Linked DNA regions of Saccharomyces cerevisiae S288C. The protein of the gene in region 2 purifies or fractionates together with the protein of the main gene of each other region. This does not show direct contact. Each region holds a gene or a part of one and is shown on either strand. Other genes may lie near its edges.

Region 1 (3,170 bases), 150 kb from region 2:
CTCCTTCTATTTTACATGCTTCATTATCCTATTACATTATCTAGCTATGCAATTCAGCTCTCATTAAGTCTAATGACTGTTTTTCAATTGTTGTATAATCTTCTTATACCTCATTTGATAATATAGCAATAATATAAAATAGTACTCTATAGGTTATAGGAGTCTTAATACAATGAGCGCGCCATTATCGTTCTGTAAAGTAAATAGTCATTCACATAACGAGCTAATAAAAATCTCCAGATGGCACACATAGTGTATGGCAACATCAATGAGAAGAATAAGGTCTTCGAGGAATAAATTGTTCTAATCATGACAAAAACTACATAACAGAAGACTGAAAGACTGCATTAAAAAAATATTATTAGCATGAACACTAGTCAAAAAATGACACTAAGATTTCATTCCAACACTACATTTTTTCGGAAAACGTTTTATTGAAGTACTGCTTTATGGTCAGCACGTATCGCTTCATATATGATAACCTTACACAGTATCTTTCCGAAAAATCATGAAACGAAGTAACACAGCATCAATTTCTGTGAGAAATAGACAAAGATGTTTCAAAAGTTCCAACATATAGTGAGCATCGTTCATATACCTCGTACAAATCAAATTTGTCTCTTGGAATACCGAAAATTAGCCGCTCAAACACTCTCCGTTGTTAATGACAATTACACCATAGCCGCTGCCGTAGAAAATGCACGGTCTTCCGTGACGAGAAGATTCGGGGGCGAATCGCATAGATCGCTCTTTCTCCTCTTTCTCAATTCTGTCTTATCTGTATTTATAACATGAGCTCATAAACAAAGTCCCTGTTTATATATATTGATGACTTATATATCTTTCGCTTCAGCTTCTTCCCTCATTTCTACTTAATATTATCTTTTGAAATTAGCGCGATCAATTGCATTCTTTTCCACACCACCTTCAAATTTAAGAATTCATATTTGAATCGAACCGTATGTTTTACCTCTCAATAACTTGTTTCATTAATAGCTCCTTCCACAACCACCTTCATCTTCTCTGATTTGAATTATTACCGACATGAATGTTACTCTCCTGAAAATGTTAATTATATCAACTTAACAGGCCTTGAAAGTGAAGTGTTATAGTTTCTCTTCCTTTGTTTTTCCCACTTTCTTTTTTTTATATATATCTTATATTGGTTTAAGCACAGCGGATTGCTTTCTTCTAATACAAGAACTAGAACATAGGTCCACCCGTGTGATGTTGCATTCTGAAATGTTTAGTTATCTCTGTCAGAACAGCGAGGTAACACTTATTTTTGTTACGACCAATCCGTAATTCAAGCGTGGGTATTCATATGACCAGAGATAATAATACAGCGAATACTATTGAAATCGTCCCTTTTTTGTTTAGGAAGAACGGACAAATCGGTCGTCTGCTCGAAATGATTAGTAGTGTGTCACCCGGATCAGCAAAATGACACACACGAAATACGAGGAAAAAGTCGGTCGAAAGGGGCAAATGTTATTATAAGTCCCTCCAGTAGTCTTTTTTTTTTCAAATATTCATCATCAAAGGTTACGAAATCTTTTGAGCTATCTTAAACATTCGTTCTTTTTATCAAATTTCAATTACTAACTTATTTTTTCAAAAAAAATTGCCTCTCCCGGTTTTTAATCATTATTTTTTTCGATTGATTAAGGGGGAAAAGCAAAGAACGAGAAAACTTGGACAGAAGGTTAATACTCTGACAATTTCAAAACGAAGTAAAAAGAAAAATTATCAAATCAACAAAAAGTACCCGTTACAACAAAAAAAATGTCCCAAACTCGTGAAGATTCTGTTTACCTAGCTAAATTAGCTGAACAAGCCGAACGTTATGAAGAAATGGTCGAAAACATGAAGGCCGTTGCTTCATCAGGTCAAGAGTTATCTGTCGAAGAACGGAATCTATTGTCGGTTGCTTACAAGAACGTCATCGGTGCTCGCCGTGCTTCATGGAGAATAGTTTCTTCGATCGAACAAAAAGAAGAATCAAAGGAGAAATCTGAACATCAAGTTGAATTAATCCGTTCTTACCGTTCTAAAATTGAAACTGAATTGACCAAAATCTCTGACGACATTTTATCTGTGTTAGATTCTCATTTAATCCCTTCTGCTACTACTGGTGAGTCTAAAGTATTTTACTATAAGATGAAGGGTGACTACCACCGTTATTTAGCTGAATTTTCCAGCGGAGATGCAAGAGAAAAGGCAACCAACTCCTCTTTGGAGGCTTATAAAACCGCTTCCGAAATCGCCACAACTGAATTGCCTCCAACTCACCCAATTCGTTTAGGTCTAGCTTTGAATTTCTCCGTCTTCTATTACGAAATTCAAAACTCTCCTGATAAGGCTTGCCACTTGGCCAAACAAGCCTTTGATGATGCTATTGCTGAGTTAGATACTTTATCTGAAGAATCATACAAGGATAGCACTTTGATCATGCAATTATTAAGGGACAACTTGACCTTATGGACCTCTGATATTTCTGAATCTGGTCAAGAAGATCAACAACAACAACAACAACAGCAACAGCAACAGCAACAACAGCAACAACAAGCTCCAGCTGAACAAACTCAAGGTGAACCAACCAAATAAGAGCGCTGAGAAATACAAGGGGAAATGAAGATTTACCACTCCAGTTTTCTTGCTAACGAAAATGAATGCAATTCGATTTTGATACTTTTTTTAGGGGAAGAGATAATATCTTCGTCTAATACAAATTCACAAAATTTTCAATTTTACCAACTACAAAATATACAAACCTCTAAAAAAATAGTTTCTTAATATATAACATAAAATAGTTTTTCTGTTACTATTACTTCTATCACTGTTTTCTTCGTGTATTCTTATATTTTGGCTATCGTTCAGAGTTGAGACAATTTGCGAGAGTAATTGAGTAGTAATTTTCGTATGTTTTAAAATAAGTTCCTTCCATTGTATACGCACCTCTTTCTTCTGTTTTCCTTTGAATCTTGATCTACCTTACCTATTGAAGGTGAAGGCATCTTTTCTCATTTGATGAAACAGCGCTCCCTGGGTGTAGGGGGGCGGGGGTATAGTAGCGTAAATCCGCAACGGAAAAATACTTCGAGTGGAAAACTATGACCATTAATATGTATGTCTTACAAGAGAGGACAATAAACAAAGTCAAATAACCA
Region 2 (5,262 bases):
GGTTCAAGATATAAACCTGGGGTATAAAATAAATCAAATTGATAATAACGTTGTCGACGACAGTTCTTTGCTTGTAGTGGCAAGTGAAGACTACTATCCAAGATTAATTGACCTGAGAACCATGAATTCAGGGGTAACTGCGCTTGGAATGGGAAATCAAACACGAATGCAATCAGAAATTTTATGCTGCAAATTTAACCCCGTCAGGGAACAGATTATTGCTTGTGGTGACATGGAGGGTGGGGTAAAATTATGGGATCTAAGAATGAGGAACAGACTGTATTCAGAATTGAAAAGAAATAAAAATAGGTTCAAGACTATAAATAACGATGATAATGACGATCAAAGCGATGTCTATTTCAGCTCTAACCAATCAAAAGCCCATCTGAGATGTTGCAGTGACATTGTTTGGAATAGTGAGGGTTCAGAGCTATGTTCAGTCGGCATGGATGGAAAACTGAATGTTTGGAGGCCATTTACGGAAATTCTGCAACCAGAAGGTCTAGCTAGTTATTCCCAGTTGGGAACACAAGACCTGAGCCGTATCAAATACAAAAAAAGAGTATCTCGAAGGTTGCTTTGGTTTGACAAGTTTTTACTGTGTATTACTGACAATGGTGAAGTAGAAATATACAATACGGAGGAAAAAAAACTTTGGAACAAGCTCGAATACCCAATGGTTAATCAGGTAAAAAAAAATCAGGCTTCGCATTGTCAGTTTAGTTCCATGATTGTGCAAACAAATATAATGAATTCAGTTGGCCTCAAATTGTTCTTTGGAACTAACAACAACACCGTTAGCGACGGCGGATCCATCTTTGAATGTTCATAAGTAATAAATGCCGTATAGAATATGATAATAGTCTTCGCGGCTCTTATAATTGAACCAATGTAGGTTTGTATTACCCGGAAACGTATATCGCTACACACGAATATACAACTAATAGCTATATACAAATGCTTTCATCTCAGACTTGGCAGGTATATTTTACCAAGCCGCTTCACCTCTTATCCTCCACTTCATGCATACTTTTCAATAGAGAGCATTTCTTACCACCTCACCTTAGTTTCAGCTGTAGCCTCTTTTCTGACATAATATTGGTAAGTCGGGTTAACCAATTCCGGGCCGAAAGCTTTTTTTATTCACTCTATTTTTGTTTGCATTTAAACTCACAGTGGATATTGAAGGAAGGAATCAGCCCTGAGATTGTGTGACAAGCCTTTTGCAAGACAGAACAGGAGAACAAGAAGCCATAAAAGAAGAATAGACAAATATAAATACTTTTGTTTGAATACCCCTATCAGGTCTTTTAAGGAATAAAAAAGGAGAAAACAGGAGAATATACCATATAGGAGACGCGATTTCAAACGAAAGCTTGAGAAAGGGTTATCGCTGAAATTTAAATAGAAAGAGAAAATATCACAACTAGAGTTAGTATTCTTTTTATCGTTCATCAGCTCTATCAAGATATAATATTTGCTCATCTTTATCTCTCTTATTTTTTTAACACCACCTCCTGAAAGAGAACTAATTGGTATACTAGTTTTACGAGGGCTAGCTTTTGGCTGTTATACGTATAACCACACACCTGGTGTTCTGTACGAACGTTGAAAAGTCAAAGCAAGGGGGAAAAGATAATATCCTTGAAGATTATAAATCCTAAAGCAAGCATATTGACGAAGACGAGATAAGAAAAATCCAAAAATGTCAACAAATCTAGCAAATTACTTCGCCGGTAAGAAAGATATTGAAAACGAGCATGTAAATAGAAATGCGAGCCATGAAAGTAATAGCAAAAGTGATGTCAAAATTAGTGGTAACGATAACGACAACGACGAAGATATGGGGCCTTCAGTATCGATGGCTGTTCAAGCGAAAAATGATGATGATTTCCATAAATCAACTTTCAACCTTAAAAGAACAAGATCAATGGGCCTTCTTGATGAATATATTGACCCTACCAAGAAATTGCTAGGAAGGTCAGACGACTTATATGATAACGACAATGAATATTATGACAACTCATCTAATAATTCTTCAAGCAATTCTTCAGATGATGATTATGATGACGGCTATCAGGAACACTCAACCTCCGTTTCTCCACCGCCGGCGGATAATGATAGCTACTTAATTCCACAAGATGATAATGACGTAGTGGTAGAGCCAGAAAGACATGTTGACTATCTGTCACATGAATGGAAAGAATCAGAAATTTCTAATTCTTGGAAATATATCATCCTAAAGAAAAAGAAAAGAGATGTTGATCTAGTAAATGCTGCTAGGTTAGAAAATGCCTCATGGAGAACATGGGCAAAAGCAAGAAACAACTTGAAAACAGTGTCACCTGAAGTGGTTAATTGGTCAAAAGATTCTGATGTGACTTGGCTATATGGCCCTATTGTAAGAGATTCTGAAGGTAATGCCCAAAGTGAAGAAGAACATGATCTAGAAAGAGGATATGGTTCGGATGATGAAAATTCCAAGAGAATTTCAATGCCCACTAAAAATTCAAAGTCGATCGCAGCTGCTCCGAAACCAATTTTGAAGAAGAGAACCGTCACAGAAATTATAGAGGACAACGCTTTATGGAAACTGAATGAGGCAAGAAAACACATGACAGAAATGAAACATGCTTCGGTAATAATGGATCCCAATGGCAACAAAAACGTCCATGACGATTTCGATGCTCTGGCCGCTCAAGTTAACGCCCAGTACTACCATTATCCCAAAGAATCGAACAGTAGCGTTAGTTTGAAGAGTCAACACTCTGACAAAAAAGATAATTCTACCATACCGAATCCTGTAGGAGAAAATTCAAATGGTGGCGGTGACAAGGGAGAAGAAGACCTGCATTTAAAGTCAGCGCTTCATGTTCAAAACAATAGGTCAACGGCACAATCAAACAAAAGCATACTAGAAAATAGTACCAATGATCGTAAGGCTAACTTGGATCAAAACCTAAATTCTCCTGATAATAATAGGTTCCCCTCCTCAACATCTTCCTCCAATAGAGATAATGAAAACAATTCCATGGGATTATCATCAATATTAACCTCAAACCCAAGTGAAAAATCTAACAAACCTACTAAAAATAGACATATACATTTTAATGACAGGGTGGAACAATGTATGGCACTACGATATCCAGCTTCACAATCGGAGGATGATGAAAGCGATGATGAAAATAAACAATATGTTGATGTTAATAACAATGCGAACGTTACAACAATAAACAACAATAGGACTCCATTGCTAGCCATTCAGCATAAATCTATTCCTATCAACTCCGCAACTGAACATTTGAACAAAAATACTAGCGACGATGATACATCCTCACAATCATCATCTTCATCACATTCTGATGATGAAGAACACGGCGGCCTTTACATAAATGCAAGATTTTCCAGGAGGTCTGACTCTGGAGTTCATTCACCAATAACAGATAATTCCTCTGTGGCTTCATCTACTACTTCCAGAGCTCATGTACGTCCCATAATAAAGTTGCTTCCTGATACCACTTTGAATTATGGATCAGACGAAGAATCTGATAATGGCGAATTTAATGGGTATGGTAATGCTGTGTCACATAACGTCAATACCTCCAGAGGCTATGATTACATATACGATTATAACTCGGTCTACACTGGTGATACTTCCAGTTTTTTACCAGTAGATTCATGTGACATTGTAGATGTTCCTGAAGGAATGGACTTACAAACAGCCATTGCAGATGATAATGCATCAAACTATGAATTTAACAATGCGGTAGAATCCAAGGAAAAACATGTTCCACAACTACACAAAGCTTCAGCAAATAATACAACACGTCAACATGGATCGCATATGTTATTATATGACGACGACAATTACAGCTCTTCATCAGATAGCGAACAGCAATTTATTGAAGACTCACAATACAATAGTAGCGACGACGAAGAGGAAGAAGATGACGATGACCAAGAAGTAGACGATAACCACGATGAAGGACTTTCACTGAGGAGAACATTGTCACTTGGGAAATCAGGATCTACCAATTCTTTGTACGATCTAGCACAACCATCACTCTCTTCGGCAACTCCTCAACAAAAAAATCCTACTAATTTTACAGGGGGTAAAACTGATGTAGACAAAGATGCACAACTGGCTGTCAGGCCGTATCCGTTGAAGCGCAATTCCTCTTCAGGGAACTTCATATTCAATTCAGATAGTGAAGAAGAGAGTAGCAGCGAGGAGGAACAAAGACCATTACCCGCTAACAGTCAGCTGGTTAATCGAAGCGTATTGAAAGGCAGTGTGACACCAGCAAACATATCATCTCAGAAGAAAAAAGCCCTTCCAAAGCAGCCAAAAGCGTCCGATAGTTCACAAAGCTTTAGAATTGTAAATAATACTCCTTCACCAGCCGAAGTGGGGGCGAGTGATGTTGCCATAGAGGGTTATTTCTCTCCTAGAAATGAATCTATCAAGTCTGTTGTTTCCGGGGGAAATATGATGGACCATCAAGATCACTCAGAAATGGACACTTTGGCAAAAGGATTTGAAAACTGCCATATAAATAATGCTAGTAAGCTAAAGGACAAGAAAGTTGATAGCGTGCAAACCACTAGAAAAGAAGCGTCTTTGACGGATTCGAGTAATGAAAGCTTACACAAAGTGGTGCAGAATGCAAGAGGTATGGCAAGCAAGTACTTGCACTCTTGGAAAAAGAGTGACGTCAAGCCACAAGAAAATGGAAATGACAGCAGTTAGAAGAAAGAATTTTGAAGTCAACATGAAGAGAAAATAAAAATCCAGGTAGTGTGGATCAGTGCCGTCTTTAGGATCCAAGTAAGCTGTAATCGACTGGCATTGTCAAGGACAAATGTAGACAGCGAAGCAGTTATTTTACGTACACAATTAAATTCGCTCCAGATTTCAAAACTTCTTTATACCTTTACAATATTTGGTACTTATGTACAAGAACTTCTTGAGCTTCCATAGTCGTATGTGTGTTCTATATATTAGCAATTAAACGCAGCTGATCTAAGATATGTTCGTGGGTAATGATTTTCAGATAGAGTACAATCAATGTTTTCTTCGATCTTTAAAGGGTTTTTCCTTTATAAAGAAGACACCACACAACAGTCTAGAAAGTAAACAAAACAAACTACGACACGGCTTGTTTTAGGCACAACTTTGTTTTAGGCAGAGCTTACAGTAATTGGCAGTATTGATATCCTAAAGCAGTATTAAAACAATTTAAAGGTTTGGTGAGGTATCTG
Region 3 (5,844 bases), on a different chromosome or scaffold from region 2:
AAGCTGAAAAAAGGAAGCAAAAGCAACGAGAAAGAAATGCAAGGATGAACGTTATCGGTGGTGAAGATTTTGGTATATTCAGCTCAAAGAGGAAGCTGGAAGATAGCACTTCGAGACGTGGGGCCAAGAAGACTCGTTCTGCCTGGGATAGAGCTCAAAGGAGACTGTAGATACAAAAAGTTTATTTTCTTATATCCTAAAGCGTTTATAGACTTAATATTTAAAAGTTAAATATAAATGAAGGGCACTGGTATATAAGCTATTAAAAACAAGAATTTTGGCTTTCACGACATTAACGTGTGAGAGGTTTAGGCACCATTGCCTTTATGATTATTAGTCCCTCCAGAATAAACTCTACCTTTTTTTTTCTTTTTTTTTTTTATAGTCCTAAGCAGAACATGACTAAATCGCCATAAATTAACAATATAGTGGGAATAAGGCACACCAGAAGTGCCACGATATAGTATATATACAATGATAAATGAGTACGTTGCCAGAAAGGTCGCTCTAAAGGACATGCAACCATGTGCGATCTGTAGCAAACCATCCACTACCGTCCTTTACAACGCATCTGGTCCAGATTGGCTATATACATGCGAAATACATTTACAAGATAATCCACAATTTGTCATTCCCCTCTATAGTACAGAGTATAATGAAGCCGTGGCTCAATTAAAACTAGTAAAGGGGAAAATGGATAGTCTGACATCAGCTCAAACCCAATTAGGGTCCTGGGATGGTTGGGTTACTAAAATATTCTCCAAGAAAGAAAAGGAGACAAATAACTCTAAAGACCCTGATCCAACTACAACCGACTCTACTGATACATCTCCACAGGCTAAGAACGATGCAGAAATCTTGTCAGAAACAAAGAAACAGTACAGCAAAATACTTGACAAAGTTACAGAACTGCAAAGGAAAAACAGAAAATACGAACTAGCAAAAATCATGTTTGAAAGCAGACTCCTAAGAAAAAGAACAGAACAAGTAAATCGCGAACGATACCTCAAGGAGCAAGAGAATTACTCTAATACGGATCCTGAAGAACTGCTTCGAAAACACGTGTTCCCCTCCGTTCCAAAATAAGGACGCAACGGTTGGACCGTTCCTCTTCCTATGGCCTAATACCCATGAACTATTGATTATATAGTATATAAAACTCACCATGGATTATCTATTCATGGTTCGTAACCAAAAGCTAAATGCTCATCACATTCTAAAGATCACAAAATAAAATCAACACGTATCAAGCGACTAAATTGTAGCTAATTTTTTTCTTTCTTTCCAGGGAAGGCAGAAAGTGTGAGTGATGTTTGTATTTCTGACAAGCTGTTGAGAGCAGGCAAATGGTGCTTCATCAAGTTAAATAATCATCGTTGAACGACTTCAAATTAACAGCGGCTTGTTCCTTCGTTCCCTTCATATTCATCACTGAGCGTAGAAAGCTAACGTATTACTCTTTTTTTTGGAAAGGGAGTCAATTGACGCTTAAAGACTAGTCATTTTGTTTAGAAAAAGTCTTATATTTATTTCTGCAGGTGGCAACATACTAGCATATGGAAAAAGTTTAGGTAACGAATTTTGATCAAACTAAATCTCACTTCTGAACTGACTACATATTCTTTATTTAAGGAGTTGACATTTTTCATTTATCCAGTCACAATTTTAAAAGCACTTCGTTAACACGTTTGGTTGTCCTTATTTTTGCATTGTGATTATATCAGGCGGCATTAAGTGAAGTATACCTTGTGACCTGAAGATTTACTTTGGAAAGTAATTGATGTTTTAAGACAGTACCGGTTTCCTTTTTTTTTATTTGGATTTTTTGTCAGTAAGAATTTGTAATTATAGATTAAGATAAAACGAAAAGAAGCATATTAATAAGGAGTTTTGAACATGGATAGGAGTGATAAAAAAGTTAACGTCGAAGAGGTCAATGTACCTTCAAACTTACAAATAGAATTAGAAAAATCAGGCACCAGTAGCAGTGTATCACTCCGAAGCCCGACTAAGAGTAGCGCTACCAATTTGGCGGGCATGGCCGAAGGTGCAAGAGATAATGCATCAATAGCGTCTTCATCGGTAGATTCCCTCAACATGCTATTAGAGCGGCAAAGAGTAAGGCAGTTAAACCATCCACAGCACCAACAGCATATAAGTAGTTCACTAGCTAAGACCCCGACAACGACTTCATCATTTTGTTCGAGCGGGAGTTCTAAGAATAAAGTTAAGGAAACTAATCGAATATCTCTAACATACGACCCGGTGTCAAAGAGGAAAGTTTTAAACACTTATGAGATCATCAAAGAATTAGGCCATGGACAACATGGAAAAGTAAAATTAGCAAGAGATATATTGAGTAAGCAATTAGTAGCGATTAAAATAGTGGATAGACATGAAAAGAAACAGAGGAAGTTTTTCACGTTTATCAAATCAAGTAAAATATCCGAAAATGATAAAATAAAACGAGAAATTGCCATTATGAAAAAATGCCATCACAAACATGTCGTACAACTGATAGAAGTTCTGGATGATTTAAAATCAAGAAAAATTTATTTAGTTCTAGAGTATTGTTCTCGAGGCGAGGTAAAATGGTGTCCACCGGATTGTATGGAATCAGATGCTAAGGGTCCCTCTTTACTAAGTTTTCAAGAAACGCGAGAGATTTTAAGAGGCGTTGTGCTCGGCTTAGAATATCTCCATTACCAAGGAATCATTCACCGAGATATTAAGCCTGCCAACTTATTAATATCAGGAGATGGCACTGTTAAGATTTCCGATTTTGGTGTTTCTTTAGCTGCTAGCAGCACGAATAGTTCCGATAGTAGCGAATCCTTAGACGAGTTAGAATTAGCCAAAACAGTGGGCACGCCTGCATTTTTTGCTCCCGAAATGTGCTTGGGTGAAGATGCATTCACCAGGTATAACTTAACAAAGGAAAATTTATTTCGTGGTTCTTGCATCTCATTCATGATAGATATTTGGGCTGTGGGTGTGACCTTGTACTGTCTTCTTTTTGGAATGCTGCCTTTTTTTTCTGATTTTGAGCTCAAATTATTTGAAAAAATTGTAAACGACCCGTTAAAATTTCCAACATTTAAAGAAATACAGTCCAACAAAGTATCTAAAGTATCTTGTGAGGAGGAATACGAAATGGCAAAGGACCTTTTATTGAAATTGTTAGAAAAAAATCCCCAAAAAAGAATGACTATACCTGCCATTAAAAAACATCCTTTTGTTTCATGGGATTTTGACCACGTACCGGAGAACGATGAAAAGTTACTATCTTCTGTCCTTGAGCAAAAATTACGTTTCCAATGTAACCAAACTGATCAATTTGAACCCATTTCTATTTCAAAGCACGAATTGAAAAACGCTGTCTCCGGTGTCGGGAAAAAAATCAAAGAGTCCGTACTAAAAAGTATCCCGCTAAAGGATCCGTCAGATCTCTCTAATAAAAACTACCTTCATCCAACGGAAACCACTAGGGGCAGAGGGGATGCCAATGTTATTGTCAGCGAAGGTTCAGTGTTATCGAATATTAAGGAATTAAGTGCTAATGATGGATGTTTGAACACTGATAGCGACACTAATATTAATATCAACGACGATGATCATTATAGTGGTGATGATAACGATGGACATTTAACGAAAAGAGAACTAGAACGAGAATTAAACAAATTCGATGATAAACACGAGGCCGGAAATATGGTTAATTTACCTATCAATTCCTCATTTGCATCCTTGGACAGCTTCTACATAGATAATTTTGCGATGGCTAGAATGGGAATGAGTTCTCCAGAAGCGGGAGATTCGGTTTCGTCTGTACCAAACCTTCCTTCTGCACCGTCTTCAACAAGGCTTGGACGATCACCAGTCTTTAGTGGAGTCACCAACCAACCAAGTCCAATTCGCCCCGTTTTGCCACAACAAAAGTCATCGTTTTGTGCAACAGGTCGGTATGATAAGAGTCACAATAGTCTTCTTAGAAATTCTTCATCTCATCTAACGTCATACAACTCCGGCAGACCATCTTCAAGGACTGGCCGAATGAATTCACGCAACCAAAACTTACCGAAAATACCAAATAGCCTTTCAAAAATCTCAACAACGAAATTGACTGAACTAAGAGTTCCAAAGGATTCAGAAATTCCATCACCTGCAAAAAACCCTAACGCTGATCGTTTGAGAAGGTTTCCCGTAAAGAAAAATACCAAAACACCCGCCATAAAAGATCCTCCGAGAATAAACATTAATAGCAGCGATAAGTCAGGCTCCAAAAATTCTCCTATAAAATCCTTATACCAACGGATGAAACAGTCTAAGGATAATTCAAAAACCTTCGAGGTACGTAGAGGAAACTTTTTCAGTCATTTTAATGGAGATGATGATGATAGCAGTAGCCAGTCGTCCGTAACCAGTTCTGGTTCAGAATCTGATTCTGAATTATCATCCACTTCATCGTCCTGTACATCTGGAACCCAATCTCGGAATAGCTCCAACAATAATGCATATTCAGAAACGGAGTCATTACCTTTCGAGTTTGGTGTTGATTCAGAAGATGGAAGTGGAGTATTATTAAGAGATTTACCTAACGAAGATCAAATAAGGCCGTTTCTGGATATACAACCATGTCGACGCATGAAAGTTAAAAGTTCATTGAACCTCGAACCACCTTCTGTCTCATCTTCTTCATCTTCATCCTCCGACGAAGATGAGCTAATTTTAAATGTCGGGACTGCAGGTCATCGAAGAAGGCATAATTCTTCAAAACTTAGTGAACTATCCAATAGTCCGCAGAAGGGATCAAATAATTTCATGTATTCCAATGGAAGTGTTCATGACAGTGAGACGACGATAACGCCGCAAAATATGGATGACTTGACGCTGCATCAGGCACTGAGCCGCAGCCAACCCATTAGTAAGCCTGGCCCATTAGTATTACCAAAGCGTTTAGACCAAAAGAAAGCTACGACGGAAACCTCAAATTTAACAGATATCGTTGAATTTAACGGTAATAACGATCATCGAAAGGACAAAAATTTCGATAAAGTTCTTTATTCAAGGGACTTGTTAAAAGATGCTCTAAGTTCCACTAATGCAGGCAGAAGGAGATCCATACCTTCAAATAAAATAAGAGGACGAAAGGACGCAAGTATTACCATGAGTACTAATGTTGGTAATGATGAACATGCTAGAAATACCAGCTGCCATGGTGATAAAGGACAAGAAAATGGCGCTATAAAACAAAGGACCCATGAAAGATCGCGATCTTTAACAGTCGCTGAACTAAATGAAGAGAAGAGAAGGAGTGCACTTCCATGAGTGTAAAATTCAAAGTAATTTCCATCGGACTACGATGTTAATCAGATATATGGTAGAAAGCTCTAACTTTTTACCCTTGCCAACATGCACGCATATATGTGTATGTTAAAATAAGTTCTGTATTTGAAATGCATGTGATTTACAATCCTCTTGCAATGAACTTAATATCATTAACAGGCTAAAAATAATATATGATGTAGATCTTTTTAGTTTAGCATAATATAATCTATAAATCTATAATATTTTTATTCTAAATTATTAAAAGGGCGGCGAGAGAAGTGTATCTGTGCTTAGAAAACTTTTCGTTTCTTCGTCTCACCCTGAGAAGTGCCTTTTCGTTTCAAAATCATTACTGGTGAGTGTCATTAAACTTTTTCAATTTGCAATTTCCGTATCTTTAAAATTTCATAAGGAAGCGTGAGTTTTAACGTGCTGATTCAAATTATCGCTTCTGCTGAAGTTCTTATTACAGATATGGCATGTAAATGGTTTTTCGCACATATGTAAAGATCTGACATG
Region 4 (3,115 bases), on a different chromosome or scaffold from region 2:
CTTGAGACAAAAAAGCTATATCATGAAGAAAAGAACACATTATAGTTATCAGCAGGAACAAAAAATTCCTGATTTAATTAAATTAAGGAAAATCAATACCAATCCGGAAAGAATTCTTGATGCACCTGGTTTCCAAGACGACTTTTATTTAAACTTGTTAAGTTGGTCCAAAAAAAATGTCTTAGCTATAGCACTAGACACTGCATTATATCTGTGGAATGCCACCACTGGGGATGTTTCCCTGTTAACGGATTTCGAAAACACCACAATATGCAGCGTTACGTGGTCTGATGATGATTGTCATATCTCTATCGGTAAAGAGGATGGGAACACCGAAATTTGGGACGTTGAGACCATGTCATTAATTAGAACTATGAGATCAGGCTTAGGTGTCCGTATCGGTTCATTGTCTTGGTTAGATACTTTGATAGCTACAGGCAGTCGTAGTGGAGAAATTCAAATCAATGATGTCAGGATCAAACAGCATATTGTATCTACATGGGCAGAGCACACAGGCGAAGTCTGCGGTTTGAGCTATAAAAGTGACGGATTGCAACTTGCATCTGGTGGTAATGATAACACTGTAATGATTTGGGATACCAGAACGTCCTTGCCTCAATTTTCCAAGAAGACGCATACTGCTGCTGTAAAAGCACTAAGCTGGTGTCCATATTCGCCAAATATTCTAGCCTCTGGAGGCGGACAAACAGATAAACACATCCATTTTTGGAACAGTATCACAGGTGCACGAGTTGGCTCAATCAATACCGGATCCCAGGTGAGCTCTTTACATTGGGGCCAAAGTCATACGTCAACCAATGGTGGTATGATGAATAAAGAGATTGTTGCCACAGGAGGTAATCCAGAGAATGCAATCTCTGTTTATAATTATGAAACAAAATTCAAAGTTGCAGAAGTAGTTCATGCTCATGAAGCAAGAATATGCTGTTCTCAATTGTCCCCTGACGGAACCACATTGGCCACAGTGGGAGGAGATGAAAACTTAAAATTTTATAAGATATTTGATCCAAGATGTACAGGAAGATCGAGAGAAGACGGATTGATGGATGGTATGCTAGGACTTATTGGCAAGGAAGGTTGTCGAACAAATGATAAGGAGAATCGTTCCAAAAATTCGAGTGAGATTCATACAAGGAGGCCCTCTAGTACCAGCCAATATTTGATCAGGTGATAAAATAAAAAAAATAAAAGTTCATGTCAAGGCATATAATGAAATTTCCATACACGCATACATAATGTATAAACATAAATGTATTCAAGAAGCTTAAGAAATAAAAGTAATGAACCTTGAGAATACATCAAGATATAACTCATCACATGTTAAAGAACCCACACACCACACGCGCGAGAACTGGGAGGGAGAGAAATTTAGCAAATAACAAAATTTAGGCCTTGGAAGAAACCATAGCAATGCAATAATCGTTATTAACATAATATCTACATTGAGAACTTCTTGGGCTAGTGGTTTTGCTGCAAACTGGAAAATTGTATCAATCTTTTAACGTTAGCTAAACATCTTCTGCTGTGTTAGCATTAGGAGGAAGCGAAAAGGAAAATACATAATGAAACCGACACAGGATTCACAAGAAAAGGTTTCTATTGAACAGCAGTTAGCTGTAGAATCGATAAGGAAGTTTTTGAACTCGAAAACATCTTATGACGTGTTGCCTGTTTCTTACCGTTTAATTGTCTTGGACACCTCGTTGTTAGTGAAGAAATCACTGAATGTTCTTTTGCAAAATAGCATTGTCTCTGCGCCATTATGGGACTCCAAGACTTCCAGGTTCGCTGGACTTCTAACTACTACAGATTTTATTAATGTCATCCAGTATTACTTCTCCAATCCAGATAAGTTCGAATTAGTAGACAAATTACAGTTAGATGGATTAAAAGATATAGAGCGTGCTCTCGGTGTTGATCAACTAGATACAGCTTCAATTCATCCTTCTAGACCCTTATTTGAGGCGTGTCTTAAGATGTTAGAATCAAGAAGTGGTAGAATACCACTGATCGATCAAGATGAAGAGACACATAGAGAAATTGTCGTTAGTGTTCTTACGCAATATAGAATTCTGAAGTTCGTTGCTTTAAATTGCAGGGAAACACATTTTCTAAAGATTCCAATTGGGGACTTGAACATTATTACGCAAGATAACATGAAAAGCTGTCAAATGACCACTCCGGTCATAGACGTCATTCAGATGCTTACCCAAGGTCGGGTTTCTTCCGTCCCTATTATTGACGAAAACGGCTACTTAATCAACGTATATGAAGCATACGATGTCCTAGGCTTGATAAAAGGAGGCATCTACAACGACCTGTCATTGAGCGTCGGAGAAGCCCTTATGAGGAGAAGTGATGATTTTGAGGGTGTTTATACATGCACTAAGAATGATAAATTATCTACTATTATGGATAACATCAGAAAAGCAAGGGTGCATAGATTCTTTGTAGTTGATGACGTCGGACGGTTGGTTGGTGTCTTGACGTTAAGCGATATTCTCAAATATATCCTTCTAGGTAGCAACTGAAACGAGCCGATGAGATTTTTGTGTACATACTATAAATAAATGCAACTAATAAAGTCATGATTAATCAGTCATGCATACTTCATCTGACCAATATATTTTCATCTTGCTTATTTTGGGTATAATTCGGCGGAAATTCGGTTATAAAGCGAAGTGAAAAATCGATTAGTAATGATACTGATGCGATCTCTGGGAGGGGGGAATGCTGCATATAAGGGTGAAGGAAGATAATGCAAAGCCTTTTGTAGTATTGTCTGTTGATACCAAAATAAATTAGTTCATCAAAAAGGTACAGGCAGCTAAAGAAAAGCTGTAAATTTAACGCCGTAGAAGGTATTTTTCGTGAGATCTATCTCAAGGCATCATTTTTTTTATTTTCGCACCAAGATAGGAAGAAAAAGAGTCACAGTATAGAGGACTAACCGTTAAAGATTCTAAATCGGTACTGTAAATACTTTGAAATGCCTCAATCTACTCCAAGTCAAGAAGTACAGCGTGTACCATGGGATAATAAACCTGCTTTGAAGCAGATAACACTCCGAGCAACCATAGCAGGTATCGCTATA

The links.
Region 1: the proteins of REG1 (region 2) and BMH2 purify together in Saccharomyces cerevisiae (affinity purification with western blotting; 5 studies listed by BioGRID, with this or other methods). This does not show direct contact.
Region 3: the proteins of REG1 (region 2) and SAK1 purify together in Saccharomyces cerevisiae (affinity purification with western blotting; 2 studies listed by BioGRID, with this or other methods). This does not show direct contact.
Region 4: the proteins of REG1 (region 2) and SNF4 purify together in Saccharomyces cerevisiae (affinity purification with mass spectrometry; 3 studies listed by BioGRID). This does not show direct contact.

The regions. Positions count from the first base shown.
Region 1 is NC_001136.10:651,822-654,991, forward strand, and holds BMH2 (14-3-3 family protein BMH2), read left to right. Parts: upstream 1-1,785; coding exon 1,786-2,607; downstream 2,608-3,170.
Region 2 is NC_001136.10:497,323-502,584, reverse strand, and holds REG1 (protein phosphatase regulator REG1), read left to right. Parts: upstream 1-1,705; coding exon 1,706-4,750; downstream 4,751-5,262. Other genes in the region: RAD28 (Rad28p), read left to right, coding at 1-832; YDR029W (uncharacterized protein), read right to left, coding at 1,171-1,485. UniProt on the Saccharomyces cerevisiae protein: Involved in RNA processing and negative regulation of glucose repression. Regulates the level of two antigens, P43 and P70. Binds to protein phosphatase type 1. Functions with REG2 and SNF1 protein kinase to regulate growth.
Region 3 is NC_001137.3:415,385-421,228, forward strand, and holds SAK1 (serine/threonine protein kinase SAK1), read left to right. Parts: upstream 1-1,896; coding exon 1,897-5,325; downstream 5,326-5,844. Other genes in the region: small subunit rRNA maturation protein LCP5, read left to right, coding at 1-170; VFA1 (Vfa1p), read left to right, coding at 475-1,086; COM2 (Com2p), read right to left, coding at 5,731-5,844. UniProt on the Saccharomyces cerevisiae protein: Serine/threonine-protein kinase that phosphorylates SNF1, the catalytic subunit of the SNF1 kinase complex. Acts as an activator of the SNF1 kinase complex and controls its nuclear localization upon glucose and nitrogen depletion.
Region 4 is NC_001139.9:290,450-293,564, forward strand, and holds SNF4 (AMP-activated serine/threonine-protein kinase regulatory subunit SNF4), read left to right. Parts: upstream 1-1,583; coding exon 1,584-2,552; downstream 2,553-3,115. Other genes in the region: ubiquitin-protein transferase activating protein CDC20, read left to right, coding at 1-1,192; YGL114W (uncharacterized protein), read left to right, coding at 3,011-3,115. UniProt on the Saccharomyces cerevisiae protein: Adenine nucleotides-binding subunit gamma of AMP-activated protein kinase (AMPK), an energy sensor protein kinase that plays a key role in regulating cellular energy metabolism.